7 linked regions of the Rattus norvegicus genome follow. The protein of the gene in region 7 binds, or shares a complex with, the protein of the main gene of each other region. Links are inferred from orthologs where the notes say so. Each region holds a gene or a part of one and is shown on either strand. Other genes may lie near its edges. The genes, in order: Crnkl1, Cdc40, Bcas2, Cd2bp2, Prpf6, Lsm3 and Snrnp40.

Region 1 (4,154 bases), on a different chromosome or scaffold from region 7:
AGAAATGGCAATGTTTGGTGAAACAGGCTAAGCTGCAGGAGCTCCTGGAACTGAGAATGGGAGAGATAGTTGCAGTTTGTTCAGAAGTCAAGGTTGGTGAAGAAAAGGTGCCTTCAAGGGGTCAAGGCAGAGAGCAAACAAATGGCACAGTAATGAGCAATGATGTGCTCAGGATTGGCAAGGACATGGTCACAGTGGAACATGGGTACGAGGGTAGAAAGGCTAGTCAACGGGCAGTGAAGGCCACCATGATTTTTATCTTGACAACAGATTTCAGGAGAACACTCCTATATTTGAAACAATATCCAATTAACACAGAAAACAGACAAAACACTGTTCTTAGCGACAGGAGTACTAGCAGCAAGACCCACATCTAGAACCTCCTGAGACACCCCCTTGACTGTCCTTCCCAGTGAGTGCCTCAGAGAGCTCCCTGGAAAGAAGCTGGAAATTGCTGACACGGCACAGTTCCCTGCTCTCCTCTTCCCAGCTCTCACACGCTGGCTTGCACACTCTTTGCAGACAGTTACTATAGTCGTGGCACTTTACCTTTGAATTTCCTTCAGACTTTCCTCCCATTGTGCGTATTTGATCCAGTTGCTAATCACAGTTCTGTTTTTTCTTATATTATCTTCGAAAGTCTGAAAGGCAAAAGGGGAGTGAAGAGAGTGTATCAAAGAGAAAATGACTTTGCTTCCCCCTTGTAATATACAGCACTCATTTTATTCTTTCTAAGAGAAAATATATCCTAGATGCTGAGGAACAAGAACCTTCCTCCAGAAGGGGGACAATGACAGGTGTTTCTCTAAAGTTTATGGTGACATCAAGAAAAATGTAAGGTGTGTCTTTTAGAACGCTTTGCTGTTCTCCGTAGCAATTAACAACGAGTGCTTTAATAAATTCTACTCTCATTAAGAATAAGAATGTTGAAACAACTTTTAACATTACCTTCAAGTGCTCGGTAACTCGTAGAATTTTACGTATGACTTCCACGATATTAGTGCATTAAATAATCCCAAATACTAGCCTGAGGTCCGATCACATAGGCCCTTTCAGAGTTCTCTCCCAGGCCCTCGCTCCTACTGTGGGGGGCGACTTGGACAGACGTACGCAGTGCATTCTTAACAGACTCACCTTCCTTTTCCGTAGTTTGTAATCGTTTAGTTCTTCCTCGTCTGTGATCTTCTGCTGAGGTGGGGGTGGGAGGAGCTCGAGCTCTCTTTCTTTAGCCTCCCTTAAGAGCTGCTCTGCGGTTATCTGCACCTCTGCTGGCGCTTTGTTCTTCACCTGTTAGGACAAAGAGACATTCCTGCTTTTGGGTAGTGTTCTCCACACAAGATCTAAGAATGAGTCCAAGATGCCATCTTTGAATGACACCCTCAATTCTCCATGAGACAGAACCGGGGGCAGGGGGAAAATCGTACCACTTCCTCTTTATCACCTGCTCAGAGAACTAACTCCTCTAACCCCTCGAGTGGACAAATTGGTTTTCCATGACATTTTAGGCCAACTGAAACTGTTCTTTTTACAAAGTCTCCACCAATAGCCTGTAAGCGCTTTAGTTCCAACACGGTAGCCACAAGTCAAACGTGTTCAAGGTAGATGGACCCTGAGTGCAAACATACTGTTCTAATTTGCTTTCTTACTGCTGTGATAGAACAACACCAACAAAAACAACCCGCAGAGGAGAGAGCTGATTGACTGGCTTACACAACTGGACCACGAGTCCATCATGAAAGGAAGTCAGGGCAGGAAGCCGGAGGCATGACTGATATACAAGCTAAGCTCAGTCTGTTCTTACATACTACTCTGTACCACCTGCCCAGGTATGGCACTGCCCAAGTAGGGTGGGCCCTCTGCACCAATCAGTAACTTGCATACAAGCAATCTTATGGATGAATTTTCTTAGTCCAGACTCCTCTTTCTAGATAACTTGAGCTTGTGTCGAGCTGTCAAAAAATCTAGCCAGGACACATACCATGGTTTTTATGACTCAGGATGCAGGGGAAAAGCTACCACATTAGATTTTTACAATTACATGTGGAAATAAGAACCTGTCTCAAGACCAAAAGGCCCTAGAAGAATCAAACCAGAGAAAGATTGTATGCAATGGCTAAGTGCAAGACTTGATATTCATTAAGCATTGGTGAAGTATCAGCCACCGTTGGAAATAGAATAATTTACTGTCCAACCTAAATGATGCCATTGCACAGAGCCTGTCCTCTCCCATCCCCTCCACTGCCTAACTTTGACGCAGCCTTCCAGTGTTAGCTTCCTTCACAAAGCTTACCCTCAAGTTTACTGGCACCCTTCTGGTTCTTGCCTATAGCATAGTCTACGGGACTAGGCTACATCTATCAAGGTTGCTATTTCGCCCTTCCTCCAGTTTTATTGGAGCACTGTAGCCTCGAGTAAAAGTAGGGGACCCCCAGAGACTAGGAAAAGCAATGAGTTTACCGAACCGAACTGATGCTTTGCATCACAAAAATACCACCCTGGAACGAAGGCTGGGCAGACGCGAGACGAACTCGGAGTGACAAGACCCCGTGCCACCTCACCATGGACCACCTGTCTTCTTGGACCAGGGCACAAAGATCTCTGTCCGGAATCTCTAGTGCCCCACACCACAGATGCTGTGCTTGAGGCTCCTCGAGGTCGCTTACCTTGGCCACTTTAGGAATCCGCTGTTTCCCGGCTGCCGTGGAAGCCGCCATGATTGTAGCCGCGGAACGCGAGCGACCCTGGCCCACACCCGGACTTCAGATACACGCCTCAAAATCCCGCGGCCAGCACCACAGAGCCAGCCCACAACAAACTAGATCCCGGAACCGGAACCGGAACTTGCCAAGGCGACCTTTGACCGCCTCACCAGTCAGGGGAAACGCCGCGTCGTTTCCGTAGCAACCGTGTGCGCGTCCTCAGAGGAGCAGCGCCGCTTGCTGGGACTGCGGGTGAGGTGGGTAGCGCGGGCTGCGCCGCAGGGACATGGGGTTCGGGCGGCGAGGGCTCACCCAGGTCCGTCTCTAAGATGCGTGCAGCTGTAGGTAGTGGCACCTGACAAGGGGCGTAGGAACCCATCTCGGAAGTGGAAACAAGAGGGAGAAGGGAAGAGCGCGGAGGAAACCACAGCCTTGCAAGCAGCTGCCAGGGCAGCGGTGCATGCTGGGATTTGTAGTCTCTGAGTCCCCGCCCCCTCGTCTCGGGCTTCCTCGCGATTGGGCCAAGTTAATGATCTTGAAACGTGGATTTTTTTTTTTTTTTTTTAAATAGAGGTATTTTTGCAACAAGATGTTAGAGAAAGGTGGAAATTAGTAGCAAAGCATCTACAGAAACTGGTACATTTGGTACAAAAACCAAATTTTTAGTCTGTAAATTTGTTTTCATTATTTCAATTCTGTTATCCTTTGACTATAAAATGAGAGAAATACCTATTTCCTTAAGATTAAAGAGAAAATCTGTCTATGTAAAGTGCTCGCTAGATGTTAGTATGTATACTATCCGACGTACATTCAGAAACAGAGTTACTGAGCATATAGTTAAGATAATTTTTTTAAATAAAAATTTTGAGATTGACGGTAAAATTGGGAAGGTGAGCTTCTCCTACTCCCTCTTTCCCCACCCTCAAAGGGCTTTCTACGATCCATTCCCACCCCTACGGTGGTTCATCGTCAGCATTGGTGAATTTACACTGACACATTATCAGTTAAAGGCTGTTACAGTTCACCCTTGTACTGTCTGAGATTTAGGACAAAGGCAAGATAGTCTGTGTCTGCTGTTTCTATAATCTACAGAGTTCCAAGCCATTAAGATCCTCAGGGTACTGCCTGTTCATCCTTCTCCCCTTGAGCCTTTGACTGCCAATACTCAATTTTTAATTTTTTTAAAGATTTATTATTTATATGAGTACACTGTCACTGTCTTTAGACATACTAGAAGAGGGCATCAGATCCCATTACAGATGGTTGGTTGTGAGCCACCATGTGGGTGCTGGAAATTGAACTCAGGACCTCTGGAAGAGCAGTCAGTTCTCTTAACCGCTGAGCCATCTCTCCAGCCCAATACTCATTTTTGTAAGCATTTTTTAAAAATTCTTTGAGTTTTGCATTTTAATCATAGTCACTCCTCCAGCTTTCCCCGGGATCTACCCCATTCCC
Region 2 (3,500 bases), on a different chromosome or scaffold from region 7:
CCTATAAGCATGACTATGAGATAGAGGAAGACACCTGATGTCCTCGTCTGGCCTCTGTATACATGTGGATGGTCATGTACACACACACCCTCACATGTGTGCACACACCGCATGCTTACATGCAAACCGAACAACAAACCAAACCAAACAAAGACACTCAGTGTCCACATCAGATTCTAGGTAAGAAACGGCCTCTCCTTCTTTCTCTCTTTCCCCCTCCTCCCCACCCTTCTTCCTTTTTCCCCCACTGTGAATGGAACCTGGGGGCCTTGCAGTGCTAGGCCTGCACTCTCCCACTAAATCTCTAGGCCTAAGAAGTACCTTTTCTGAAGAAGACCTAATCACTGAACAGTGATCAGTAAGCCTGCAGCTAAACAGTAAGGTAAGATACAAAGTCCAGTCAGTGTCCTCGGTGATAATCTGGAAGGACAGTGTAGGTGTAGAAATGGACATTTGCACTGAATCCGAATTGACCTCAATTATCCCGACAATAATGAGGGCCTATTCTGCCTACTTGGCTCTCCCAGGGAGTCAGTCTGAGGAGGCAGCCTCTGGCAGTGGTTCAAGGCTGCCACTTTCTCTTAAACTGCTACTTCTAGGGGAGGGAGGGAGGGAGGTGCCCTTTCTAGTCCCAGCCAGGCTGTGTCTCCACTGAGTTCGCTGTTCTGTGTGACTAGAAGTACAAGCTGGGCTCCACCCAAGAACTGATTTTAATTAGAAAGATTACTATGTATTTCCTTCAACTAAATCATAAAAATATCAGGATACTTAATGAAACCAGCTTAAGGATTTACTATTTTGACTTTAGAAAAACAATGTTCTTTGGATAAAAGGAAAAAGTAGTCTCTATATTCTGATTATATTCAACAAGCAGGATGTTTAAAGCTGATGATATGAGGCAACTCAAGGCCTGGATGGTTACAAAGCAGGCCAGAAGAAAACGATGTGGTGTTTTCCTTGGATTTGTTCTGAGGCCAGGATCTCTACGTGTGACTCTCACATAACTAAACGTAGCCAAATATCCTATACCTCGCCCGCCATTTTGTAAAGATGAATAAGGTATTAGTGAAGCATGTGAGGGGGGCTTGCGAGATGGCTTGGCAGGTGAAAGAAAGGGCTGCCGTGCAAACCTCAGGACCTGAGTGTGCTCTCTAGAACTCACCACTGGAAACGTGAAACACACACACACACACACACACACACACACACACACACACACACACACTCCCTCTCTCTCTTTACCCCCTCTTTCTCCCTCCCTCCCTCTCTCTCTCTGTCTGTCTCTCTCTGTCTGTCTCTCTCTCTCTCTCTCACACACACACACACACACACACACACACACACGCACACGCACACACTCAATGTAAATCAGGGCTGGAGAGATGGCTCAGCAGTTAAGAGCACTGGCTGTGGTTCAATCCCCAGCACCCACACGGCAGCCCACAACTGTACTCCAGCCCTAGGGGATCTGACACCCTCACACCAATGTACATGGAATAAATTATTTATAATTTATTAAAAAAGGAATGTGAGATGTGACAATTATCATGATCACAAACAACAACAATAATAAACCAAGTTTAAATCCATGTACTCTTGGGAGAGTCTTTAAAGATTGTGAAGGGTAGTTATAAATGTTTAGATTTCAATTTCCAAATTGTCAGTATTTAAATAATTACCACACTTTAGCTGGAAGACAAGAAAATTGTGGCATATTATCAAGCTTTGGCTATAATTTTTTAATTGCTTGTTTCGTAAGTCGGGTTTTTTCTGATGAACACTCACCATTCCCAAACTCGTAGGCTTTTATCATCAGACGTACTCACAAATCTTCGGTTCTCATCCACAAAGACAATCGTGTTGACAGCCCCCAAATGCCGATCGTACTCTTGAACAATCTCTCCGCTGCGAATGTCCCACTGTGAGCAACAAGGGAAGGCACACACAGAGGTAGGAGCACTCATGAGGACAGCCAGATACACTTAGGGACAGACTCCTCGTGCTCCGTGTCTAGGGACTGACTCCTCCCACTCCATGTTTAGGGACTGACTCCTCCCACTCCATGCTTAGGGACTGACTCCTCCCACCCCATGCTTAGGGACTGACTCCTCCCACTCCATGCTTAGGGACTGACTCCTCCCACTCCATGCTTAGGGACTGACTCCTCCCACTCCATGCTTAGGGACTGACTCCTCCCACTCCATGTTTAGGGACTGACTCCTCCCACCCCATGTTTAGGGACTGACTCTTCCCACCCCATGCTTAGGGACTGACTCCTCCCACTCCATGCTTAGGGACTGACTCCTTCCACTCCATGCTTAGGGACTGACTCCTCCCACTCCATGTCTAGGGACTGACTCCTCCCACTCCATGCTTAGGGACTGACTTCCCACTCCATGCTTAGGGACTGACTCCTCCCCCTCCATGCTTAGGGACTGACTCCTCCCACTCCATGCTTAGGGACTGACTCCTCCCACCCCATGTTTAGGGACTGACTCTTCCCACCCCATGCTTAGGGACTGACTCCTCCCACTCCATGCTTAGGGACTGACTCCTTCCACTCCATGCTTAGGGACTGACTCCTCCCACTCCATGCTTAGGGACTGACTCCTCCCACTCCATGTCTAGGGACTGACTCCTCCCACTCCATGCTTAGGGACTGACTCCTCCCCCTCCATGCTTAGGGACTGACTCCTCCCACTCCATGCTTAGGGACTGACTCCTCCCACTCCATGCTTAGGGACTGACTCCTCCCACTCCATGTTTAAGGACTGATCCTCCCACTCCATCTCTAGGGACTGACTCCTCCCACTCCATGTCTAGGGACTAACTGCTACCTTCTGAGCACAACACAAGTGGATGCTCAAAGTGGCAGGCATCAACAAAATGAATGCTGTTCTCTTTCCTCAGACAACCTAAAGCTCACAAATCCTGACAGACATACTGAAGAAGGACTTACCTGTACAATCTTTTTATCAGACATCCCGGCCACAAAGAGATTCTGCTTATCTTCATCGGGATTGAACTTGACGCAATAGGGTACTTTGCGGTTTGTAAATCTTGATATACACTGTCCTAGACAAAGAGTCAAATTAAACAGAAACATAAGTCTGACTCCCAGAGGATGGCAGCAGCATGAAGACCTACTGAGTGGTCCTCACTGATTCTGAGGAAGGGTGGCTCGACTCTTAAAACCACCACATGGGTACTTTCCATAGAATTTTTTTTAAATGATTAAAAATATTTTTTTCAGGGGCTGGGGAGATGCCGCAGTTGGTAAGAATGTTTTCTGTGTAAGTGTGAGGACTTGTGTTTGAATCACCAGGCATGGCTGTGCATGTCTGTAAATGCAGCACTGGGGGCAGAGACATGAATCCTGGGAGCTTGCTGGCTAGCCAGTGAGGCAGTGAGGCAGTGAGGCAGTGAGCCAAAACTGGGAAGCTTTCAGTTCAGTGAGAAACCCTATCTCAAGGCAATGAAGTGTACACACACACACACAG
Region 3 (4,215 bases), on a different chromosome or scaffold from region 7:
TCTGTGTTCAAGACTTAAGTACCATGATACATGAACATGGGAATCCATTATTTAAGCATCCACACGTTAAGGACTGCATTTTATCAAGTGGTGCTCTGCAGATCACCCTCAGAGCTCATTTTCTTATACCGCACAGTGAGTGTGGGAGTTATGTGGACGTAAAAGAGCTCAGCATTAGTGAACTCTAAGGCAGGACTCGAGATGCAGCCTTTCACTCTGTTCTGATACAGCCCCAAGTCAAGTCTAGCACAACTGCTATTATTATTTTGGACATGCAGTTTTGCTAGGTGAGCCTAGGGTGACTAAACTCAAAATATAAGCCAGGCAGGCCCTCCTCCACACCCCAGCTTCCCAGCCAAGTGCTGGAATGATAAGCATGCACATACCACCCTGGGTGGCACAGGATAAGAGAGAGCCCAGCGCCTCTTACTCGTTGTACACTTTCCAGGCGTTACACCCATGCTGTGACATCAGTTCCAGATTCTCAATCCGCACTGCCTGATGCTCCAGCTGGGCCATAGAATTGTTTACACAGTCTTGCCACGCAGTGATGTCATTTTTTTGACCCGAGGAAGGGGCTGGCAGTTCATATCTGAAATTACATAACAAATAAACCAATGTATCTCGCAAAGACTCATCACCCCTTTCCACAGACATATGCCCATTACATAAAGGCAGAGACACAAAGTATCAACCCCTGACCATGACCCTGCATGTGCAAAAGACCAAGGACACAATGTAGGCCAGGCAGTACAAAGAAACCTGTTAGTTTGGAAACTGATCTTGACAGATAAAAACACAGTTGTATACTGTAACAAAGAACTACTTCCATAAATGTAAACTAGGTAAATAAGCTGTGAGTCACAGAGACTCTCATGTCCCTTGTCCTTGTTCGTCTACCATGACCCTTCTTACATAAAGTCTGCTTATCAGCTTTTTAAAAAGTTGCTTAAAAATACTGTATTATATCTGCTAGCATTTTTTTTTTTTAATGTAGTAATGATGATTACAGTTCTCTCTATTCCCACGTCCTATGCCCAGCAGCAAACACTCTTCCCAACCTCTGGCAGCGCTGCGGTTACCACAGCTTAGCCTCATCTTACCGCTTCATGCTGAGTAATTCAATTGGTTGTCGAGCAGCCAGTCTTTCAAACTCATTTCTCATTATGTCTGTCTGATGCACAAACAACACAAAGAATTAGTGACAGGATCATGTTGAAAATAATGAATGTAATTTACTTATATTTTATACTTTATACTATACATTATAGTGAATCTTTTCTCCTCTCTCAATTACTTCTCAAATAAAAAGGATGCGAATATTTGAACCCAGGACCACTATACTACACCCTCACACACCCCTCAGTTTGCTCTGAGGTTAACGCTATCTAGAATCTGAAGAAATAGGCATATTCTTTAATTCCATATTCTACCTAGGCACGATAGGAGGTGAACCTAGAAGAGCCCAGCTGTCAAGGATTAACCCTACATCAGCAGTCTTCAATGCTCTGCAATCAGTTGTGGAACTCTGAAAACAACTTTAACCCCAGCCCCATGTCACGTTATAATTCACAACATAAAGTAACAGTCTTGAATCATTTCAGGAAGTCTCTGGTGCTGCATGACGGTCTGACACAGCGTAACCTGTGAAGTCACATGATGTAACATGGACCAGCACTTGGATCTGGGGCTTGATTTTTTTCCAATTAATTTTTGGGTTAGTACTTTTTACTCTTGCCAAATTTCTTGCAGCTCCCACATCAGTTATGAAACCCCCACTGAGGAGTCACAACCCAGTTTAAAAACCTGGGATCTGGATCCGAAAGAATCACACATCCCTGTACATGGAGCAGTCTTTCTCCTTCTCCTTCAGCCTGAAAGTATTTTAACATCTTCGTAGTGTAGCAGGGTGGGGGTGGGGAGAAACTCTGAACAGGTGTGGACTGAAATTTAACAGAATTCATTAATCTAGAAACGACACCGCACATTTACTTGATTAGGGCCTAAATGGTGTTTTGGTTGCACTTTGAGGATAACCATTAAGACGTACTTGTTCAGGCATTCATACACCTGCTAACTATCGGAGTCTTGGTACAAAAATCTCCCTCCAGTGGTGGCAAAGAGTACAGGCACCTAAGATTATAAATATTAAAATCTAATACCTGTTTTTGAATAGACATTGGAGAATAAAGGGTTCTTTTGTGAAATATACTATGACTCTTATATTAAAACACACACACACACACACACACAGAGACACGGCGTGGGGAGCACTCTTCAACAAGTCTGCAGAAACCAATGAAGTCATTCGCGGGTTATTGTAGTACAGACCCTATGAAAAGCTCATCTGGTGGTTTGAACCGACTGATACCTATATGGCACTCAATATGAGCAGCAAGCACCAGTTAGCCTGGAAGGTGACGTTCATTTTACACAGCTAAAGCTCTCAATCCGAAATCAAAGTCCGCAAGCCTCCTGGTCAGAGTGCTGGGCCCAGGACACCACACTTACTTCAAAGGCAGAATAATCTGGGGCTGTCAGGTAGCTCAGGTAGTTCTTGGTAGGTCGGTATCTGCGCGTTTCCTCCTCCACCAGGGCCGCAGCCTAAGAACGAGAACAGGCCGGGGTCGCGGCGAGAAAAGGGCAGCAGCGTGCCTCCGGCGGCCCCGCCGCACATGCCCTGCACTCACCGCTTCCCGCACGCCAGGCGCTTCATAGCCTTGGTCAAAGTAGGGTAGCGCATCCACTACCACCTCCCCCGCTACCAAGCCCGTGCCCGCCATCGCGCGGCACTGTACTCCAAGAGCGCCTTCTGAGTCTGCGCAGGCTCGATTAGATTCTCTGCGCCTGCGCCTGGAATGACGTCACGCTGCCTCTGGCTTTTCGCTTCCGGCGCCTGTGCAGTTGGTAATTGTAGCCGCTAGACTCTAATATTAGTTATCACATGCTGACATGCCAGGGTGACTTTCTTTGTATGGGTACCGCGTGGGTTATTTTCGAAGGAGTGGGTAGGGTAGACTTGGGAAGAGGCGGTTGCTGGACTTGGCTGGAGGGGAGAAATAGATTTCCACATCCTTTAACCTTCCATTGTTTAAACTCGCCATGGTGCTGGGCTTCTAAGCACTCCCTTGTTTTATCCTCATTTCGCAGCTGGCCCCTTAAGAATGTTCTTTTATAGAAACTAGAAATCTGCGCCTATTTTCCAATCAAATTTTTAGATCTAACAACCTGAGTGAGGGATGCGGCTCAATGGCAAAACCAATTCAGTCCCTGGCACTGCAAACACCTCAACCCTCCCAGGACTGTATTATATATACAAAATGCCTCATTTTAAAAGCTCTGCCACGAAGCAGGGGCAACTCTGGAGCAAGTTAGAAATCTAGGAAAAGGGAAACTTGAGGTTTACCCTAAGACTTGAAGCAACAGGGGATATGGAACCTGAAATGGCCACCTCCTGGAACCAGGCAAGACTTCTAATGGAGAGATGGGAACACCAACCCACCCACAAAACCAAAATTTGTCCTGCTTATAAAAAGTATGAGGATAAAGATTGACCAGAAACTGAAGGAATGATCAAGCAATGACTGGCCCAACTTGAGACTCATCCCATAAGAGAGAGCCCACCCCGACACTATTCATGATGTTCAACAGCTGTTAGAAACATGCGAAGATCCACAGCCAAACATTAGGCAGAGCTCCAGGAATCTTGTGGAAGAGGGGGAGGAAGGACACCACAGGAAAACACAGAATCAACTAACCTGGTCCCGTAGGGGTTCACAGGGACTGATCCACCAACCAAAGATACAACGGACAGACCTAGGCCCCTACAAATATGTAACAGATGTACAGCTTGGTCTTCATGTGGGACTCTAATGGCTGGAGCAGGGGTTGTCTAACTCTGTTGCCTGCCATTGGACTCCTTTCCCCCAACTGGGCTGCTTTATCTAGTCTCAATAGGAGATGTGCCTAGTCCCACTGCAACCTGATATACCAAGGCTGGTTGATATTCACGGGAGGCCTCCCCTTCTCTGAGGAGAAAGGGTGGGGTGAGATGGGGATAGGAAAGGTGAGAGGGAGGGAGTAGGACAGGATGGAGGGGAGGCTGTGATCAGGATTAAAAAGATTAATGATAAAATCCTGTCATTTTTGTCTTTAGAGCCTATATAAAACCCAATCCCTTTGCCTTTAGGATTTGTGGTAATAGAATATTACTCC
Region 4 (4,131 bases), on a different chromosome or scaffold from region 7:
GCTTATGCCAAGAAAGGTCAGGGAATAGGTGAATGGGCCACCTCTCTAGTTTACTGTGAGGTCTCCAGTAAGTCCCTGCCCTTTGCCCCTCGCTGTATCACATGGTGGCCCAAGTAACCTTGAAGTGCTACCAAGTTCATACTTCACCTAAGAGCTATGGAAACTACTGCAGGAGGGTGAGGGGTAGTAAAACCAGACTAGGGAGAAGGGGAGAATCCATGTTTAAGAGGATCTCCCAATAGGATTTCAAAGTCTTCCTAATGTCCCAGCTACAAAGGAGCTGCCAGGGCAGAGAATGTGAGGTCCTAAAAGCCAAGATCAGCATGACAGAGAACAGAGTGATAGAGGGAATTTTACACAGGACACCTGATGGGCCCTCCCTCTGCCTCCAAGGTGGGAAACAAAACGGAGGTGGTCCAAGACACCAGAGAAGCATGAGAGGAAGTCTCTTGGGAGGAAACTCAAGGACCCACCAGGTGAAGCCAAAAGGAGCTATGGAGAAGCCTTGGCTTTTGGCCATTAGCCCAGTCAAGGCCCTGATGCATACTCAAGGCTTTTATTGACAAAGAGACACTGGCTTTAGAGTGGCCTCCAATATCCTCACTGCCCAGGGCAGTTGGGACCTCCTCTGCCAAGTTCAAGAAAGAAGGGGCTGCCAAACGGGGCCCTTAGCGGGCTCATGTGTAGAGATCAAAATCAATGCGCTTGGAATTGTAGAACTGACCGCCTGGAGGGTCCAGCTTCCGGCAATAAACACCATCCGGGAAGTAACCTTCGCTCACCCAGGTCTGTAAGAACAGAGGACAAAACTGAGGCAAGATGACAGAAGCTGGGGTGGACAGCCAGGGCGGGAAGGGGCTTACCTGCATCTGGGCACTGGTAAAGGGTCCGTACAGCTCAGCATCCCCCGTGTTCTCCCATTTATACTCCCACATCACATCCATCAGACCATCTCCAGCTGAATCTGCTTCTAAAACAATGAAGAAACTTGGGCCTCAAGCACCCGGTCTCCTGCCCACACTGCCCCTCTTGTGCCCTTCTTACCTTCTCTATGGGTAGGGGTTGGAGTTTCCAGTTCCCCCTCTGTTACTTCCTCAGCAAACATGTCCAGGGAGGGTGGAGGTGTGGGGTCATGGGATCCCTGGGTCCGACACCCCAAACCCTTCAGTCGCATAGCCAAACGCTCCCTTGTTTCCTGGTATACACCAAGGTTGCCTCGAGCCACCATTTGATCAGCCAACCCAGATAGCCGGTCTAGACGCTGGGGAGAATTGGGCCGTCCAGTCCCCTTGCTGTTCCCTTTGCCTCCTCCTCGGGCCCCCAGACGCCTAAGTGCCCCAGCCACTGTCTCTCTTGGCAGTAACAACTCCAGAAGTCCCTCCAGGAGGGCTTGGACACTCATTGGAGTCTGACCCAGGCTGCCTTCCTCCTCTGAGTCCGAAACCTGCTGCTTATCAGGTGGCCGTTCCTTGATCCTCACCTATAAGTGAAAGATAGTTATCGTTTCTTACAAACTCCACCAGGACCCAGGCCCAGCACCAGCATTCCCAGGCTGAGCTCAGCCAGGACAGATCCTGGGCCACACCCAGTCAATGTTGTCCAGCCAGCTGTCTCGGATCTGCGAATCCTGGTTCAGGAAATAGTTGCCATCTGCATCAAAGTGGCCTTCCTCCATCTCCTCCTGCAGGTTGAAGGGTGTGATCCTCACACCCCCCTCACTAGGGAGAGTAGCTGCTTCCTGACCTGCACCAAAGACATGGGGGGCCCCATGCTAGACATGCAAAAAAGAAACAGGCAGTACACCTCCCACCTCCCTACTTAAAACCTGTCCCTCCAACACAGTTAATGCTTTGGAAATAGCTCACCTTCGACATCCTCTGAGGCCAGGATATCGTATTTGCTGGACCCCTCGTCATCATCCTCTTCATCACTGTCTAAAGAGTGTTTGCCTTTGAAGCGGCTCCCAGGACCACCTGCTCCAGCCACAGGGTCCACCAGCTATGAGTAGGACGAAGTAAATGAGAAAGGAAGACTGGCTAGTTCCTCGAATATTCCAGGATCTGTACATAAACTCGAATCCTTCCAAACCCAGTGACTGGGAAAAACTAACCCTTCCTTGGCTTCCAGCTTTTCTCCCGTTGGACTGCTCCCTCTCCTTTCCCCTTAGGCCTCCATAGAACTTAGAGATCTGGCCATCTCACCTTCTTTTTGGGAACACTGATTTCATCTTCATCATCCTCATCTCCAACACCCTGAAAAGTCACTTTCCTCTTTGGCATGATTGGCAATAGATTTCCTCCAGCTGGACCTCGGGAAAAGATAGGAAGTGAGGAAATTAAGTAACAAGAGAGGGCCGCGAGAGTGTACAGGCTCCACAAAGATTTTTCCTGGTAAATTTGAGAGAGGACCGATCACTAAACCATCTGAAAGAACTAGCAGGTACGACGTCCGGAATTGATTTGGCAATGCAGGGGCCCAAAAGGGAGAACATGTGAAGGATCTCCGCCCCCGCGTGGACCCTGTGGGTACTCCCACCTAGGTGTGTGGGAGGGTAGGGAGCAGGTTCCCCCCACGTCATCACTTCCCTACCAGTCCGAAGCTACAGAGCTCAACCACCTCTCCCACCCGAGTGCCCTCAGAGGCCGGTCGGACGCAAGAGCTGGCGCCTTAGTAGCCTCGGAACCCGAATTCCACATAGCGACCTGCTCGGCCATGTCCAACTCGGCGTAGAAGCTAGAAGCGAGGCAAAGCCGCAGGGATTCAAACAATCTTACCCGCTGACGCTCACCTAGGAATCCAGGGTCAGACGGGAAAGAAAAGGAAAGATGCTTTCGCCGGTATTACATCCGGGGCATCCGCCTCCATCACCCGGAAAAAGACTGTGAAGACTGCCATAGGACCCGGAAGTGGCTTCACTTCTATCCAAAAGACTGGCAGAACGGGCGGATGTATCCCTTTAGCCAAGGCCGACTCTCCGCAGGAAGTAACGTAAGACCTGCAAAGACTCGCGTGAACTCCGTACTTGCCTCACGGGATTTGAAGATGGCGGGAAATGTTTTATTATTCCTCTGCAATGGAGGAGACGGTGAAGACGTGGCGTTCTGTTTGCTAAAAGAGGTTCCCAAGGCCCGGTTGGAGGGACACAGACCGAACAGGGGCCTTGGGTTTCAGTTTGCATTTATGGATAGGATTATGTACGCCTAATGGCATTCAGTAGAAACTCGGGTTTCCGAGTTTAACGCAATCCCAACACTCAGGAAATTGAAACAGGATTGTCGCGAGATTGATGCCAGTCTGCGATACAACATGAGACCATTTATTTTTTTTTAAATCTTTTTCTCCCTGAGTCCTGCTTCTGGTTGTAAGCACTCGGGCACTTTCCAAACCAAATCCTTTTAGAACCCAGGAAGTCATTTGCACCATGTCTATTCCCCCACTTAGTTCCTAGTTTCTGTAGTGGGACAGCCGTCGCAGGAGGTGGCGCTGGCATTGGTGCTGAGTAATTAGGCAGAAGCCCATGGTGCCCTGCTCTCAGGTGTAGGTCCCAAAAAAGCTCTTGAATTAGTTACAAGATGAAGCCTACCCCGACCCCTTAGCAAACTGTCAAGGTGCTGAAATTCAGCTCCTGCAAAGGTGGGACCAGTGAGATCTAACTTAATAGTGAGGTTTAGATCTGGAGCTCTGGGAAAAAACTCAAAACCTGAACACCTCTGCCCCACCCCCACCCTCAGGCTAGATAGCTCAGGTGATCCTACTAGAGCTGGAAGAGGGTGGCCAAACGGACACCACCTTTCTCCTCCAGGGTTTTCTCCCATTCTGAATCACTGTGAAACTTCATTGAAGGTGTGATCTTAGTTTCTTCTGTAGGTAAAAGAAACACAAGTCCTACACCAAGAGAGCATCTTGCTATAGACAGGACCCTGAAAAAACACCAGCTCTCAGCACTACTGGTTCATCTGGAAGGAATTTTCTCTTCTACCTGGAGACCACACCCTGATCCTCATCCTGAAGAAGATCTGCCAAGTGGAACTCTTGCTTTATGGCCACAAAAGCTTTATCAGAAGACTTTATCATCCTGACCCAGACTGGAGGGCAAAAAGCTTGCCACAGAAAACAAGAGCTGGACAATTT
Region 5 (3,500 bases), on a different chromosome or scaffold from region 7:
GGAACTGGATGACAGGCAGCTGTGAGCTGCCCTATGGCACCTGGAAATCAAGTCTAGGTCCTCTAGAAGACGAGCCCATGCTCTCAACCGCTGAGCCATCTCTTCTGAGTCAACTCTAGGTTTTCTATATTGTGTGACCTGACAAGCTGCCAGGTTTATCACTTTCAGTGATGCTGACCCTGCCATTATGTTAGGCCAGCCTCTGCTCCACACAAAAGTCGTAAAGACTTTCCTTTCCTTCTGTTCATAACCTTGCTCTGACTCTAGTATGGGCACATGCAGCTGTCGAGAGAATATGCTGCTATGGCTTTACCTTGGGGCACATCTCTGTCCCTTTCATAATAAGGTTTCGAGCCACTTGTAACTTTCCAGTGACTTCTTCCAGGCGAGCTGACGCAATCCAGGCTGGTGGATGATGAGGGTTTGTTTCTCGAACAGATTTAAGAAGTAGTCGTGCTTTCTTGATGTCACTGTAAAGGTCAAAAGGCACAAAAAATCAGGCCACACTATTAGAGGGTGTGGCAAGAGCCTGGGAGAAGGCATCCCCTTAAGACACAGAATAAATTGCTAAGGGAAACATGCTGAAGACATAAAATCCAAAAGAGCTACTCTACGGGGGCACTGAGTAAACAAACTGAAGCCTGAATATCCAGACAGGAAACACCAGACAATCTACAAGCTGCTTTCTAGCTCACCACAGGCATTGACCTTATTATTTGTAAAATATTTAATATACATAGTAAAAGAACACAAATACACTTCTAATTTCTCAGAACATCCATGTCATATTTTGACTGTATATTCTTTTTTTTTTTTTTTTTTTTATTAACTTGAGTATTTCTTATATACATTTCGAGTGTTATTCCCTTTCCCGGTTTCCGGGCAAACATCCCCCTCCCCCCTCTCCTTCCTTATGGGTGTTCCCCTCCCAACCCTCCCCCCATAGACTAGTTCACTGGGGGTTCAGTCTTAGCAGGACCCAGGGCTTCCCCTTCCACTGGTGCTCTTACTAGGATATTCATTGCTACCTATGGGGTCAGAGTCCAGGGTCAGTCCATGTATAGTCTTTAGGTAGTGGCTTAGTCCCTGGAAGCTCTGGTTGCTTGGCATTGTTGTACTTTTGGGGTTGACTGTATATTCTTTAAAAAAAAAACTCCACAACATAGTAAGCAATTAAAGTTCCCATTTCAACCCATCAATTCTGCAGCATACTCACTTTATATCGCCACCATGGGTTGGGATCATAGAGTTTAGGTCCGTCAGATAGCCTTTGGGGTCCACAACAGTCTGCCCACTCACTGAGTCAGATACCTGTGAGATAGGTAAAGGGGAGAATGAGCTAGTCATGACCAGCAATGTTTAAAACAACGAATTACCAACAACCCTGAAGGCCCACCCGACAAATCTCATGAAAAGCAGTCAGGAAAAAACAATCTTACTGTGACTCAAACAACAGTTAGTGATGAGAAAATGTCTTCTACATGAAAAGTGTAGAAATCTTCTACAAGGATTAATGTTGCGGGATTAATTTCGGCATCACTGAAAGTGATAAATCAATAGAAAACCTAGAGGCTGAAGCAGGAGAGACAGCTCAGCAGTTCAGAACACTTAAGTATGGCTCCCATAGGCTCATATACAAATACTTGGTCCCCAGTAGGTGAAACAATTTGGAAAGGCTTAGGGAGTGTAGCCCTGTTGGAGAGGATGTGCCACTGGAGGTGGGCTTTGAGATTTCAAAAAACTTGGCCACTCTAGAGTGTCTCTCTTCTAAGAAATGAAAAGAGAAAATAAAAGTAACCAAGACACATAGAGATACTGATCCTAAAAGTTCCATGAAAAGAAATTTCAAGAAAACATATTTTAAAAAAATGTCTTTTTAAGACGGACCTAAGTCCAGAAAGTCTTAAGTAAAAGGCTGGTAATTTCAACTTTTTTTTTTTAAATTTCAATATGGAAGTTCATTGTACTAATCTTTTTCTTTTTTGAGACATGATTTCTTGTGTAGCCCTGGCTGTCCTGGAACTCATTCTGTAGCCCAGGCTAACCCTGAACTCAAGAGATCCACCTTCCTCTGCCTCCCCAAGTGCTGGAATTAAAAGCTCATTCTACTATTTTAATCATAAATTTTTTTTTTTTTGGTTCTTTTTTTCGGAGCTGGGGACCGAACCCAGGGCCTTGCGCTTCCTAGGCAAGCGCTCTACCACTGAGCTAAATCCCCAGCCCCTTAATCATAAATTTTTAAATTGCCATAATAAGCCGTGTCTGATAGCACGGACCAGTAATCCCAGCTACTTGGAAGGCTAAGGCAGGAATGACCAAAGTTCAAGGCTTACCTGGCTACAGAATGAGTTCCAGACTGGCCTAGACAATTTACTGAGTATCAGTTTCCAAAATTAAAAACTAAAAAGAAGGGCTGGAGAGGTGGCTCAGCGGTTAAGAGCACCCGACTGCTCTTCCAGAGGTCATGAGTTCAAGTCCCAGCAACCACATGGTGGCTCACAACCATCTGTAAAGAGATCTGGTGCCCTCTTCTGGTGTGTCTGAAGACAGCTACAGTGTACTTATATATAATAAATGAATAAATCTTAAAAAAAAAAAAAAAACTAAAAAGAAGCCGGCCAAGGTGAAGCACGGCTTTCATCCTAGCCCTCCAATGTAAAACCACATCCACACCTCAGTGGCCACCAAACCATTTCGCACAGCTTCCTTAACTGTAAGGTGGTTGAAGCTACCAGTTTTAGCACTTTGAATTACACGCTCTGAATAGCTGTAGGGATTTCACCAGGGGTTGGGGGAACTAGCTCAACCTTGGCGTAGTGCCAAAGTGTGGCCAATCAAGGCTTCGAGTAAGTCAGGCAGCGGCCACCATCAATGGTACCTTCTCTGCGAAGTTATGGATGAACCTGGCCATGGTCTAAGGTGGAAGGTTCGTCTCCCCAAACCGCCGGCTGAAGGTTTTAAAAATGTTTTTAAAAGACAGAATCTCATATTATAACCCAAGCTGGATTCAGGCTCAAGGTGATGCTCCTGCCTCAGCTTCCTAAGTACTGAAATTACGGGTGTACCAGCACACTATCCAACACTCTTTAAGAAAAGACAGGTTAACAAACACAGAGCACAGAAAAAGGGGAACAGGAGAAAAAGCGTTGTTTTTCTAGTGACTGGTATGGAAGTGCACGCCTAGCATCCAAGCACTTTGAAGATCATGGTGGAAGGATCAGGCCATCCTTGGCTACACACTTTGTGTGAAGCCAGCTAGGCTACACGAGACTATCTTCCTTTCCTCCAGAAAGCTAGGTACAGTAGCTTATACCAGCACTTGGCAGTCAGAGGCAAGCAAATGATTACAAGTTCAAGACTAGCCTGGTCTACATAGATCAGGACAGCCAATAACATGCCAAATCATGTCTCAAATAAAATAACAAAAATACCAAGAAGAACATGTGCAGGGGCATTCTGTTTTATTTGCCAACTTAAAAAAAAAAAAAAAAACAAACAAA
Region 6 (4,283 bases), on a different chromosome or scaffold from region 7:
CCCCACCGTATGTATTAAGGTAGTGTCTTTAAGTTGAACGCAAGAGCTTGTTCTGGGGTCTCCACAGGTGTTAGGGATCTAAACTTCAGCACTCAAACTTTACCCACCAATCATCTGTCCCACCTTTACTTTGCCCATTTATAACTTGTCCAGAGCTTAACATGCTTTGGCATCTGTGGGCTCAGGCAGGAAGGATTGCAACCACAGTGTTTAGTGCAACCTCCAAAGTTCATCCCTTTTACTAACAGCAAACCTCCTGGGGCTTGTTCAGAACCCACTTATATGTTCTTCTAACAAAGTGCTAAGTGCTTTTGCCTGCTCATATCAAGATTAAAAATAGCCAGGCGCCACATTGAGAAGGAACTGCTTGGCAGCTACACAAATGAGCAAAATGTTCAGCTGGAGAGCAGGGAGGAAACAGAAACCTGGGCCACTTACTACAGAGGTAAGAGCTTCAGACACCTCCAAACTAAAGGCGATGGTCTAGCCTGGGGTCATTCCATGTGCCGAAGAGCCTTTCAATTTAGCTCCATCCCATGTTTCTCACCAAACTGGCACCGCTGTTTCCCTAATGCTGGCTTGTAGATCAACAGTCCAATTTCCTTCCAAGTCACAGAGGTTCTTTATCCTCAGGTTTCATGAAAGAACTAAAAATTTCTTCATAGAAGAAAGACTGAGACTGTCCCCCACACTGGCTCTGTGGGTGCCAGTATGGGGCTATTTCTAAGCCTGAACTAAAAAGACTTAATTCCAATTCCCGTTGTAAACCAACAGCTCTGAGGAAAGTAACAAGAAGAGACAAAACCCTAAGTGCACAATAATGCTACTTCAAGGGACCAATTCCACAGGCATCATAAATGTGCACAAGCAATATATGTAAAAGTGCACAATGCAGTTTTAAGGCTGGAAAAACAAAAAAGTGACCGAAGCCTTATAGAGAATCCTGGGCAACTGTGTCAGCTGCATAATCATTCCACACAGAAACCGTGTGGAAAAGGTGTGTACATACCAGACAAGGTTTCACTATGTAGTCCAGACTGGCCTCAAATATATGACCTTCCTACCTCAGTCATCTAAGTACTGGAATTATGGGCACATGCCACCGTACCTCACTAGGATCCTCCTTCAAACACAGACAGCATATACACATGCAGAAAAGATGTGGACGACTATGTAGCCAACTTTGAATAGTGCAGAGAAAATGGAATTTCACCTTTAGATTTCTATGGTGTTTAATTTTTTTTTGGTAGTGCTAGGGGCTTTGCCACATACTAGGTGAACGATCTCTGGCCTGCTATTTAGTTTTTTTCATGTCAAAGGAGAGTTTTATATGTCGAAAACCAAAACACCCTGTCCAATAACTTTTAAAAACATAGGACAATGGCAAGAGTGGTAGTGCATGTCTAAAATCCCAGTTCTAAGGAGAGAGAGGCAGGAGGATCTTGAGTTTGAAGCTAGCTGGGTTACATAGTATGACCTTGTCTAAAACAAAAAGAAGTTTATTCATTTTAAATAAACAGAGGACAAAGCTGAAGAAAACAAAAGTGTTCTACAGGGTTGTAGAGATGCTCAAATTAAGAGCACTGGTTATCCCTGCAGAGGACCTGAGTTTGGCTCCTAGCAACCACACCAGGCAGCTCACAACTGTCTGTAACTCCAGCTCTGGGCAATCAGATGCCTTGTTCTGGTCTCACAGGAGTCCCATCCCTCTCTAAAAAACATTCTGGTTAAGGAAAAAATATTTTAAAAGCCAATAAAGGAATTTCCAACTCCCAAAAGTCATTGTATAATTAAAAAAAATAAGTTTATGTTGCAGTTCTTATCTGTAAGGAGGTAGGAAGGGATGACAGGGGAGCATCTGGTTTTGAGATAACTTAACAGACTTACATGTAATCTGCCTCGAAGCTCTCGGTCATTTCTCATTTTCACATAAATTCGCTCATCCAAGCTGAGTCTTATAAGATCCAGGGGCTCCTCTACGGTATTGGTGGTCTGTTGCTGATGAGAGAAGAAGGCTTAGTAATGGAACACTGAGGTAGTGTGGTGTTTCAATCACTGTTAAGCAGTGAAAGCAACATGTGGGTGTTGGTACACAGCCAGGGTTGTCTACAAGAGCCAAAAGTGCTCTTAACCACTAAGCCCCAATAAATCCCTATTAAGGAACTTATATTCTAGTTGTGGAACGAACATTTTAAATAAAGAACACATTTAAAACAACATGCTCTGAAGAGAAACACTGTGTGCCAGGTCTTTGCTTGTTTTCTATATACTACATCTCTAGCAGTTTCTCTATCTCACATAACTGCACCTTTTATCTGACCTCCCCTCGTAACACACTCCAAGTGAGCCACTGCCTGCGTGCCAGGTGCTTACACGTATTACTATGCTGGTGTCCTACCGCTACAGTACTCTTTCTGTCGGAATCCCGACCGTATCTCCCATAGATGGGATATCCACAGCCGTCTGCATTCTACAGAGAAAGGGCGACGACGAGCGAGATGGGCAGATGGGCGGGTTGAGAAACTCTGGGCCTACGGAAGTTTTAGGAGCAGGCCTGGCTGCGGAAGGCCGTGGGAACTCGGGAAAAAGAAAAGGGCCATTCCACGGGAAGCGTGGAAAAAGCAAGCCCGGCTAAGAAACGAAAGCACTTCCTCTTCGGACGCCCCAGGACAAACTTACCTGATCTACGTCGTCCGCCATGTTTCAAACGCTGCGCCCTTTCCACCTCTCGCGAGAGCAGACACTAGGAAACGTTGGGCCGCCACGCACTGGAAGGCGAACTACACTATTTTTGTCCCTTCGCGCCCTTGTAGTTTGCATGGGGGCGGGATTTTTTGGAGGGCGTGGTCCTATCCGGAGCTGGGGGTGCGGCCAGGCATGGCACGCCTCGGGGCGGAGCCGGCACGCGGAGACTTTCGGCAGTCCTGCGTGGTTGTCCGGAGGAACGCCTCTGGCTAGCATGGCCCGAAAGCGTACCGCAGGCGGAAAGCGGAGGAAGCGCGGCCAGGAAGCCGAGGACAACAAAGCAACCCGGCCTGAGGAGAGCGATGCGGGTGAGAGGCCAAGTCTGCAGCATGTCAGGCGATGGTGGCGGAGGCTGGGGCGGGCGGCGGAGCGGATCTGTGTCTACCGCAAGGTCTTTACGGCCCGATGCGTCCCCCCTCCAGCCCCCGAGGGCCTCTGCTATCTGTCTTAACCCCTCGGTTAACCTTTAGTACCAAGTTCAGCCCCATAGCAAGTGTTGAAGGCCGAGCTGGAGAAAGCTTCGCAATTGCCTGGTATCTCAGGAGATGCCAAAAACCAGGACCGAGGGAGACCTGTAGTGAGAGATCTCTCTCATCAAGTTCCTGACTGCCATCCAGTGTAACTCCAGCTCCGGGTTTTTAGGATGCGCTTTCTGTTACTCTTGTTTTTTGCTTTGTTTTTCCAGACAGGGTTTCTCTGTGTAGACCTAGCTGTCCTGGAACTTGCTTTGTAGACCAGGTTGGCCTCAAACTCAGAGATCCGCCTGTCTCTGCCTCCCTAGTGCTGGGATTAACCGGCATGCACCATTACGCCCTGGCTGGAATGAGTTTTTAATCTAGATCTTGAACAAGATCCATCTTTCCCCTTAAACATATCCATCCCCCCAGTTGTTCTATTTCAATAAATCATCCCTTTTAAAACACACGTTAGAACACATCTCTTCTTAACTGCCAGTTCGGCATCAAGTCCAGTTCAGCTTTGGAACCACCGAAATCTGTACTTAATTCTCTTAATTTTATAGCTAGAGATCTTGTCCATATCGTTAAGGAAATGAACTTCAGGTTGCTTCTTTTCTGGCTTCCTCTCATCTGTCTGCCCCATCATCTAGCAGCCAAATGGATGTAGAACCACAACAAAACCTTATGCCTCTGTCTTCTTACTTAAAACCTCCTTAGGTTTATGCTCTCCAAGTATAGCATCTACCTCTCTTAGCTTGTTTCCCACAAGATTTGGAGGTTGTCACAATTCTACTCTGTCTCCTCTCCAGATACTCTTATTTTGATTTTTTTCCTGTTTAAATATCAGGCTGGCCTAGAAGTCGATCTTCCAGTCTAATTTACCTCCTGATCACGGGGATTGCAGATGTCACCATGCCTGGTTCTCTCTGACCATCTTTCTCCTCTTTAGACTTACTGTTTATTTATCTGGAGGCTCAGCCTTTGGTGTTTCTTTGGCTTAGAATGTTCTTTGTGGCTCTTGCTGGTGCTAATTTCCTCTCTGCTTCAGGTCTTAGACACTCCATGATCATCTTAAGGTAG
Region 7 (4,263 bases):
TCTGCTCACAGAACTCCTCCTGCCTCTGGATAATCCCGTGGACAGTCCAGCGTATGCCCTATGTGCTCTCTCCTTCCTAAGGCTGTTTTTGTTCCACAGCCAACTTTTGACTGCTTGGTCACATTGAACTCCTTTATGCCTCAGGGTCTTAACAGAGAAAGATGTCTTCTATAGAAGCACTCACCTTATTTTGTGTCTGTTAAGTATTGCCTCCCCAGAGTCTGTCTTTCATCACTCACACTATTTTGAGTGAGGCAGCCCCCCTACCCCTTATTCCACTGGGTCCAGGGCACTCTGTCAAAGCCCCATCACTACCTGAACTTCCTTCTCTTACATCATTGCTCATACCTTTCTTTTTCCCCAAAGAAATGAAGCTCTGGTCGTTCTCCATTTTTCTGTCTCTAGTCCATCCAGTTAGCCTTTGAAAAACCCAGTGGGGTACAGTTTATTATGCAAAATAGATTTTGGGGCATGAGCGGGGTGGGGGGGGTCTTTTTTTTTTTCTTTTTTCTTTTTTTTTGGAGCTGGGGACCGAACCCAGGGCCTTGTGCTCGCTAGGCAAGCGCTCTACCGCTGAGCTAAATCCCCAACCCCGAGCGGGGGTCTTAATATGTAGCCCAGGCTGGTCTTAAAAATTTTCAGTCCTCCTAAGTGCTGGTATGACAAGTGTGTATCACTGTGTCAGGCTTAGCAAAGTAGATTTGATTGTGTGGTCTTGCACACTAAACCTAGGCAACCTTGTCAAATAAGAACCAGTGTATTACCAATAATCCTGAAGTCTCTTTAGTAGATCCCAGTATACTTACTTATTTTTATTATCATGTACTAACTACACCAAGTAATGGGTTTTATTACGAAATATCCATAAATGCAGATAATGTCCCATGGTCATACTCATCCAGTATATTTAGTCACAAAAATGTTACCTGTTGGCTAGAGAGATGGCTCAGAGATGCTCTCCTAAAGGACCCACATTCAGTTCTCAGCATCTTCAATGGGCAACTTTCAAGAGCTGTAACACCAGGTTCTGAGAATCCAACATTCTTTTTTTTTTTTTTTTTTTTAAGATTTACTTATTCATTTATTATATATAAGTACACTGTAGCTGTCTTCAGATACACCAGAAGAGGGTATCGGTTCTCTTTACAGATGGTTGTGGGCCACCATGTGGTTGCTGGGAATTGAACTCAGGACCTCTGGAAGAGCAGTTGGGTTCTCTTAACCGCTGAGCCATCTCTCCAGTCCAGAATCCAACATTCTTTTCTGGCCTCTGAGCCCCAACCCCAGCGCACACACACCTAACATATCTAGGCGCTGGAGAAGACAGCACTTGGTAAAACAATAGACCTTGCATTCTAGTACAAAGTGTGAGAAAGGCAGACAAGCAAACCCAAGTAAAACACCCCCTGTTGTGTGCCATGGGAAGAAACAATATGGGTTCCAGAGTGCAGGACACTTCAACCTAAAATACAGTTGTCAGAAGAGCCCCACTGAAAAGCTAGTATCTGAGCAAAGATTTGAAAGAGTCAATAGTTGACCATGTGGGCATTTACAAGAACATCCCAGCCAATGCACCACAGAAAAAGTAAGAACATATATGTGTGTGTGTGTGTGTGTGTGTGTGTGTGTGTGTCTGGAGCCAAGTGACATGCCAGAAAACTAGTAGATGAACAAGGTAAAGAGGGGAATTATTACAGAGAATTTCCTTTTTTTTTTTAGAAGGCAAGGATCAAGGTTACACAGTTCTCTTTCCTTTCAACAGGATTTTGCCATAATAATAGCTTAGATGCTTGAAGTCCTGGATCTTCCAGCCCCAGTTTCTCAAGTGATGATTATAAATGTGTGTATCCAGCTTTTTTGGGGGGTGGGGTGGGAGTGTCTTTCTATGTTGTACAGGTTGGCTTCCAATTCCTTCCCTTAAAATTTTCTTGTCGGTCTTCTGGAAAGCTGGAACTACAGTCCCACACGCCTTGCTCACTTTATTTGTATATTTTAAAGACCACCGCAAAAGGATTTGGTTAAAGAGTTGGGGCAGGAGTACACCTATTTCCTCATCTGAACGTGTGGCGGGTGTGATTACTATTTTACAAGACATGTAGTTAAAAGCATGGGTTCTGATTCAAAAAAGCTTGCTTTCCCCATTTTGCAAAATAACAGCTGCTTCCAGGCTGTTATCAAGATTAACGGAAATTTCACACGCAAAACATCCAAGAACCAACTAATGTTAATTACTATTATAAATGCAGAGAAAGAAAAAGCTGTACCAGGTAGCAAAGCGAGCCACTATCATTCATTTGCATTGCTTCTCCTCTCATTCATTCATTCGTTCACTCTGCCAACTTTCCTGAATGTTTCTTTTATGCTAAATCCCTGAAGATTTAGGATGCGGAAGCTTGGGTCTTGACTTTGAGGCCAAAGTTTTAAATGATTCAATGCCCCGGAAGGGCTAAAAACAGGCGTCTAACAGGGAAACACGTATGGAGCACACACAGAACACAAGGCACCTTTACAGAGGCCTATTTTAACTTCAGGCTCACTGCTTTTCCGTTCCTGCAGAGCTGATACCATCCGTAGGAAGAGGGGTTGGGGGCCGAAGGGGGGATGCCTCCTCACTTACCGTCTGCAGCAATGCCCCCGGAGTCGCCTGCTGTTGCCCGGCTCCGGGGCCGGATCCTGCGGCTCCCAACAGCAACTCATGTCGCGGCCGCTTGACGGGAACCAGGGGTAGCTCTGGGCCCTTGCGTTTCTGCTGCTCGATCATGGCGGCAACCACTACCCTCGGCGCCGCCAGTAACCGCGCCGCCTGCAGCAGGCGTTGCGCAATTGGTTTCAACTGAGTTCTTCCTCCAGAACTTCCGGAAGAGAGCAACCAATCGATTTCTAACATTTCCTTCTGCAACGCCCTCTGAATACACTCTTGCGATTGGTCTCTTCTTGATGACGTCACGAGAACTCCACTCTGGATTGGGTCGCAGAACTGACGTTCTCCTCCGCCCCCTCAGGCGCGCCGTGCATTGTGGGTGAGAACGAGCGGAGCAGATTCAGTGTTCCTAGGGATGAAGCGGCTGTCCTGTTAGGAGCGGACGCGGAGTGAGTGTGTGGGGAATCAGGCGGGTGGTTGTTACAATTTGGAAGTTACGAGTCAGGCCTGAGCCTACCATTTTCAGCTACCAGCTTTGGCAGCGGGGTGTGGCAGGGGATGTCCTCGGAAAGAGTCCCCGGAAAGAGAAGTCCTTTGGTAGGCTGGAGCAGAGCTTTGGGATCTCTGGATGCAGGACTCGAACTCTCAGGCCGCTATTCATTGACAGCTGCTCTGCAGGATGCCGATTCTGGATCCCACTCTGTGCTGGCCTTCCCAGGCCCGACTCCCGGCCTCCAGGCTTCAGTGCCTGGCTTGGCTGAGGCGGCGGACTTAGTTTTGTCACTGCTTTAGCCGTCTTTTCTAAGGACTTATTTATGTCCCCGAGACAGCCAGCGATAAGGAAAGTATCAGATGGCTCCCCAAAGCACAACTTTATTGAGAAGTCAAATAGTCGTGCTTACGTACCAGGCCTTCTCGAAAGTGGTCCATGGGGTTGGGGATTTAGCTCAGTGGTAGAGCGCTTGCCTAGGAAGCGCAAGGCCCTGGATTCGGTCCCCAGTTCCGAAAAAAAGAACCCCCCCCCCCAAAAAAAAAAAAGAAAGTGGTCCAAATGGTATTTATGATGCAGTGCGTTGGAGGTCATTCTGAAGAAACATGGTCCCCTACCTCAGGGTGTGGGAAACGTGTTAAGCAAATCTCACCAGTTGATCGGAAGACTACCTGAACGAGCGATGCCTCATGCTATGAGTTACTAATAGAAGCTTGAAGGCTTTTCAAAAGAAAAGATGGCTGAGCTGTTCCTATCTGATGGGACAGTTCTAATTATGGGACGAGAGAAAGGGAGAACGTTCTGCACAGAACAGCATGTGCAATGCCCTATCAGTTGGGAAGATGACTGAGACACAGTGGGTCTGAGCGGGTGTGCTGAGAGAGAGTGATTGAAGTGACTATGGTATGGGATGAACCCGGAGGTCATGAAGATTTGCAGGAAGTTGAAGCTTTTACTTTAAAATCAATAGGAAGCCAGTCAAAGTTTTCTCTCTTCTCCAGAATGTGGTGCAGAAGATGGCTTGATCCCTCAGACTTAATGGTGTGATGAAACTGGAGAGATAAGGGGAGGTTTACTGGGAACAAATAGACCATTTTGGGAGCATGAACAGTAGTTCTGATCAGCAATGTCA

What was found.
Region 1: Snrnp40 (region 7) and Crnkl1 share a complex: the UniProt entries of both Homo sapiens proteins name them as parts of the minor spliceosome. The link is inferred for Rattus norvegicus from reciprocal best matches to the Homo sapiens genes SNRNP40 and CRNKL1.
Region 2: Snrnp40 (region 7) and Cdc40 share a complex: the UniProt entries of both Homo sapiens proteins name them as parts of the postcatalytic spliceosome P complex. The link is inferred for Rattus norvegicus from reciprocal best matches to the Homo sapiens genes SNRNP40 and CDC40.
Region 3: Snrnp40 (region 7) and Bcas2 share a complex: the UniProt entries of both Homo sapiens proteins name them as parts of the postcatalytic spliceosome P complex. The link is inferred for Rattus norvegicus from reciprocal best matches to the Homo sapiens genes SNRNP40 and BCAS2.
Region 4: Snrnp40 (region 7) and Cd2bp2 share a complex: the UniProt entries of both Homo sapiens proteins name them as parts of the U5 snRNP complex. The link is inferred for Rattus norvegicus from reciprocal best matches to the Homo sapiens genes SNRNP40 and CD2BP2.
Region 5: Snrnp40 (region 7) and Prpf6 share a complex: the UniProt entries of both Homo sapiens proteins name them as parts of the U4/U6-U5 tri-snRNP complex. The link is inferred for Rattus norvegicus from reciprocal best matches to the Homo sapiens genes SNRNP40 and PRPF6.
Region 6: Snrnp40 (region 7) and Lsm3 share a complex: the UniProt entries of both Homo sapiens proteins name them as parts of the U4/U6-U5 tri-snRNP complex. The link is inferred for Rattus norvegicus from reciprocal best matches to the Homo sapiens genes SNRNP40 and LSM3.

The regions. Positions count from the first base shown.
Region 1 is NC_086021.1:153,804,815-153,808,968, forward strand, and holds the start of Crnkl1 (crooked neck-like protein 1), read right to left. Parts: upstream 2,801-4,154; 5' UTR 2,715-2,800; coding exon 2,664-2,714; intron 1,288-2,663; coding exon 1,135-1,287; intron 642-1,134; coding exon 550-641; intron 1-549. UniProt on the Homo sapiens protein: Involved in pre-mRNA splicing process. As a component of the minor spliceosome, involved in the splicing of U12-type introns in pre-mRNAs.
Region 2 is NC_086038.1:45,862,979-45,866,478, forward strand, and holds part of Cdc40 (pre-mRNA-processing factor 17), read right to left. Parts: intron 3,076-3,500; coding exon 2,960-3,075; intron 1,920-2,959; coding exon 1,786-1,919; intron 1-1,785. UniProt on the Homo sapiens protein: Required for pre-mRNA splicing as component of the activated spliceosome. Plays an important role in embryonic brain development; this function does not require proline isomerization.
Region 3 is NC_086020.1:193,379,585-193,383,799, reverse strand, and holds the start of Bcas2 (pre-mRNA-splicing factor SPF27), read right to left. Parts: upstream 2,801-4,215; 5' UTR 2,784-2,800; coding exon 2,691-2,783; intron 2,605-2,690; coding exon 2,512-2,604; intron 1,175-2,511; coding exon 1,104-1,174; intron 593-1,103; coding exon 431-592; intron 1-430. UniProt on the Homo sapiens protein: Required for pre-mRNA splicing as component of the activated spliceosome. Component of the PRP19-CDC5L complex that forms an integral part of the spliceosome and is required for activating pre-mRNA splicing.
Region 4 is NC_086019.1:191,241,092-191,245,222, forward strand, and holds the start of Cd2bp2 (CD2 antigen cytoplasmic tail-binding protein 2), read right to left. Parts: upstream 2,801-4,131; 5' UTR 2,789-2,800; exon of another isoform or gene 2,775-2,788; intron 2,742-2,774; exon of another isoform or gene 2,703-2,741; intron 2,309-2,702; exon of another isoform or gene 2,303-2,308; 5' UTR 2,280-2,302; coding exon 2,202-2,279; intron 2,001-2,201; exon of another isoform or gene 1,999-2,000; coding exon 1,866-1,998; intron 1,744-1,865; coding exon 1,586-1,743; intron 1,481-1,585; coding exon 1,045-1,480; intron 971-1,044; coding exon 864-970; coding exon of another isoform or gene 789-863; coding exon 678-788; 3' UTR 1-677. UniProt on the Homo sapiens protein: Involved in pre-mRNA splicing as component of the U5 snRNP complex that is involved in spliceosome assembly.
Region 5 is NC_086021.1:189,115,465-189,118,964, reverse strand, and holds part of Prpf6 (pre-mRNA-processing factor 6), read right to left. Parts: intron 1,312-3,500; coding exon 1,217-1,311; intron 471-1,216; coding exon 314-470; intron 1-313. UniProt on the Homo sapiens protein: Involved in pre-mRNA splicing as component of the U4/U6-U5 tri-snRNP complex, one of the building blocks of the spliceosome.
Region 6 is NC_086022.1:125,576,702-125,580,984, reverse strand, and holds the start of Lsm3 (U6 snRNA-associated Sm-like protein LSm3), read right to left. Parts: upstream 2,801-4,283; 5' UTR 2,701-2,800; coding exon 2,680-2,700; intron 1,999-2,679; coding exon 1,888-1,998; intron 1-1,887. Other genes in the region: Xpc (DNA repair protein complementing XP-C cells), read left to right, coding at 2,960-3,053. UniProt on the Homo sapiens protein: Plays a role in pre-mRNA splicing as component of the U4/U6-U5 tri-snRNP complex that is involved in spliceosome assembly, and as component of the precatalytic spliceosome (spliceosome B complex).
Region 7 is NC_086023.1:147,983,327-147,987,589, reverse strand, and holds the start of Snrnp40 (U5 small nuclear ribonucleoprotein 40 kDa protein), read right to left. Parts: upstream 2,801-4,263; 5' UTR 2,762-2,800; coding exon 2,618-2,761; intron 1-2,617. UniProt on the Homo sapiens protein: Required for pre-mRNA splicing as component of the activated spliceosome. Component of the U5 small nuclear ribonucleoprotein (snRNP) complex and the U4/U6-U5 tri-snRNP complex, building blocks of the spliceosome.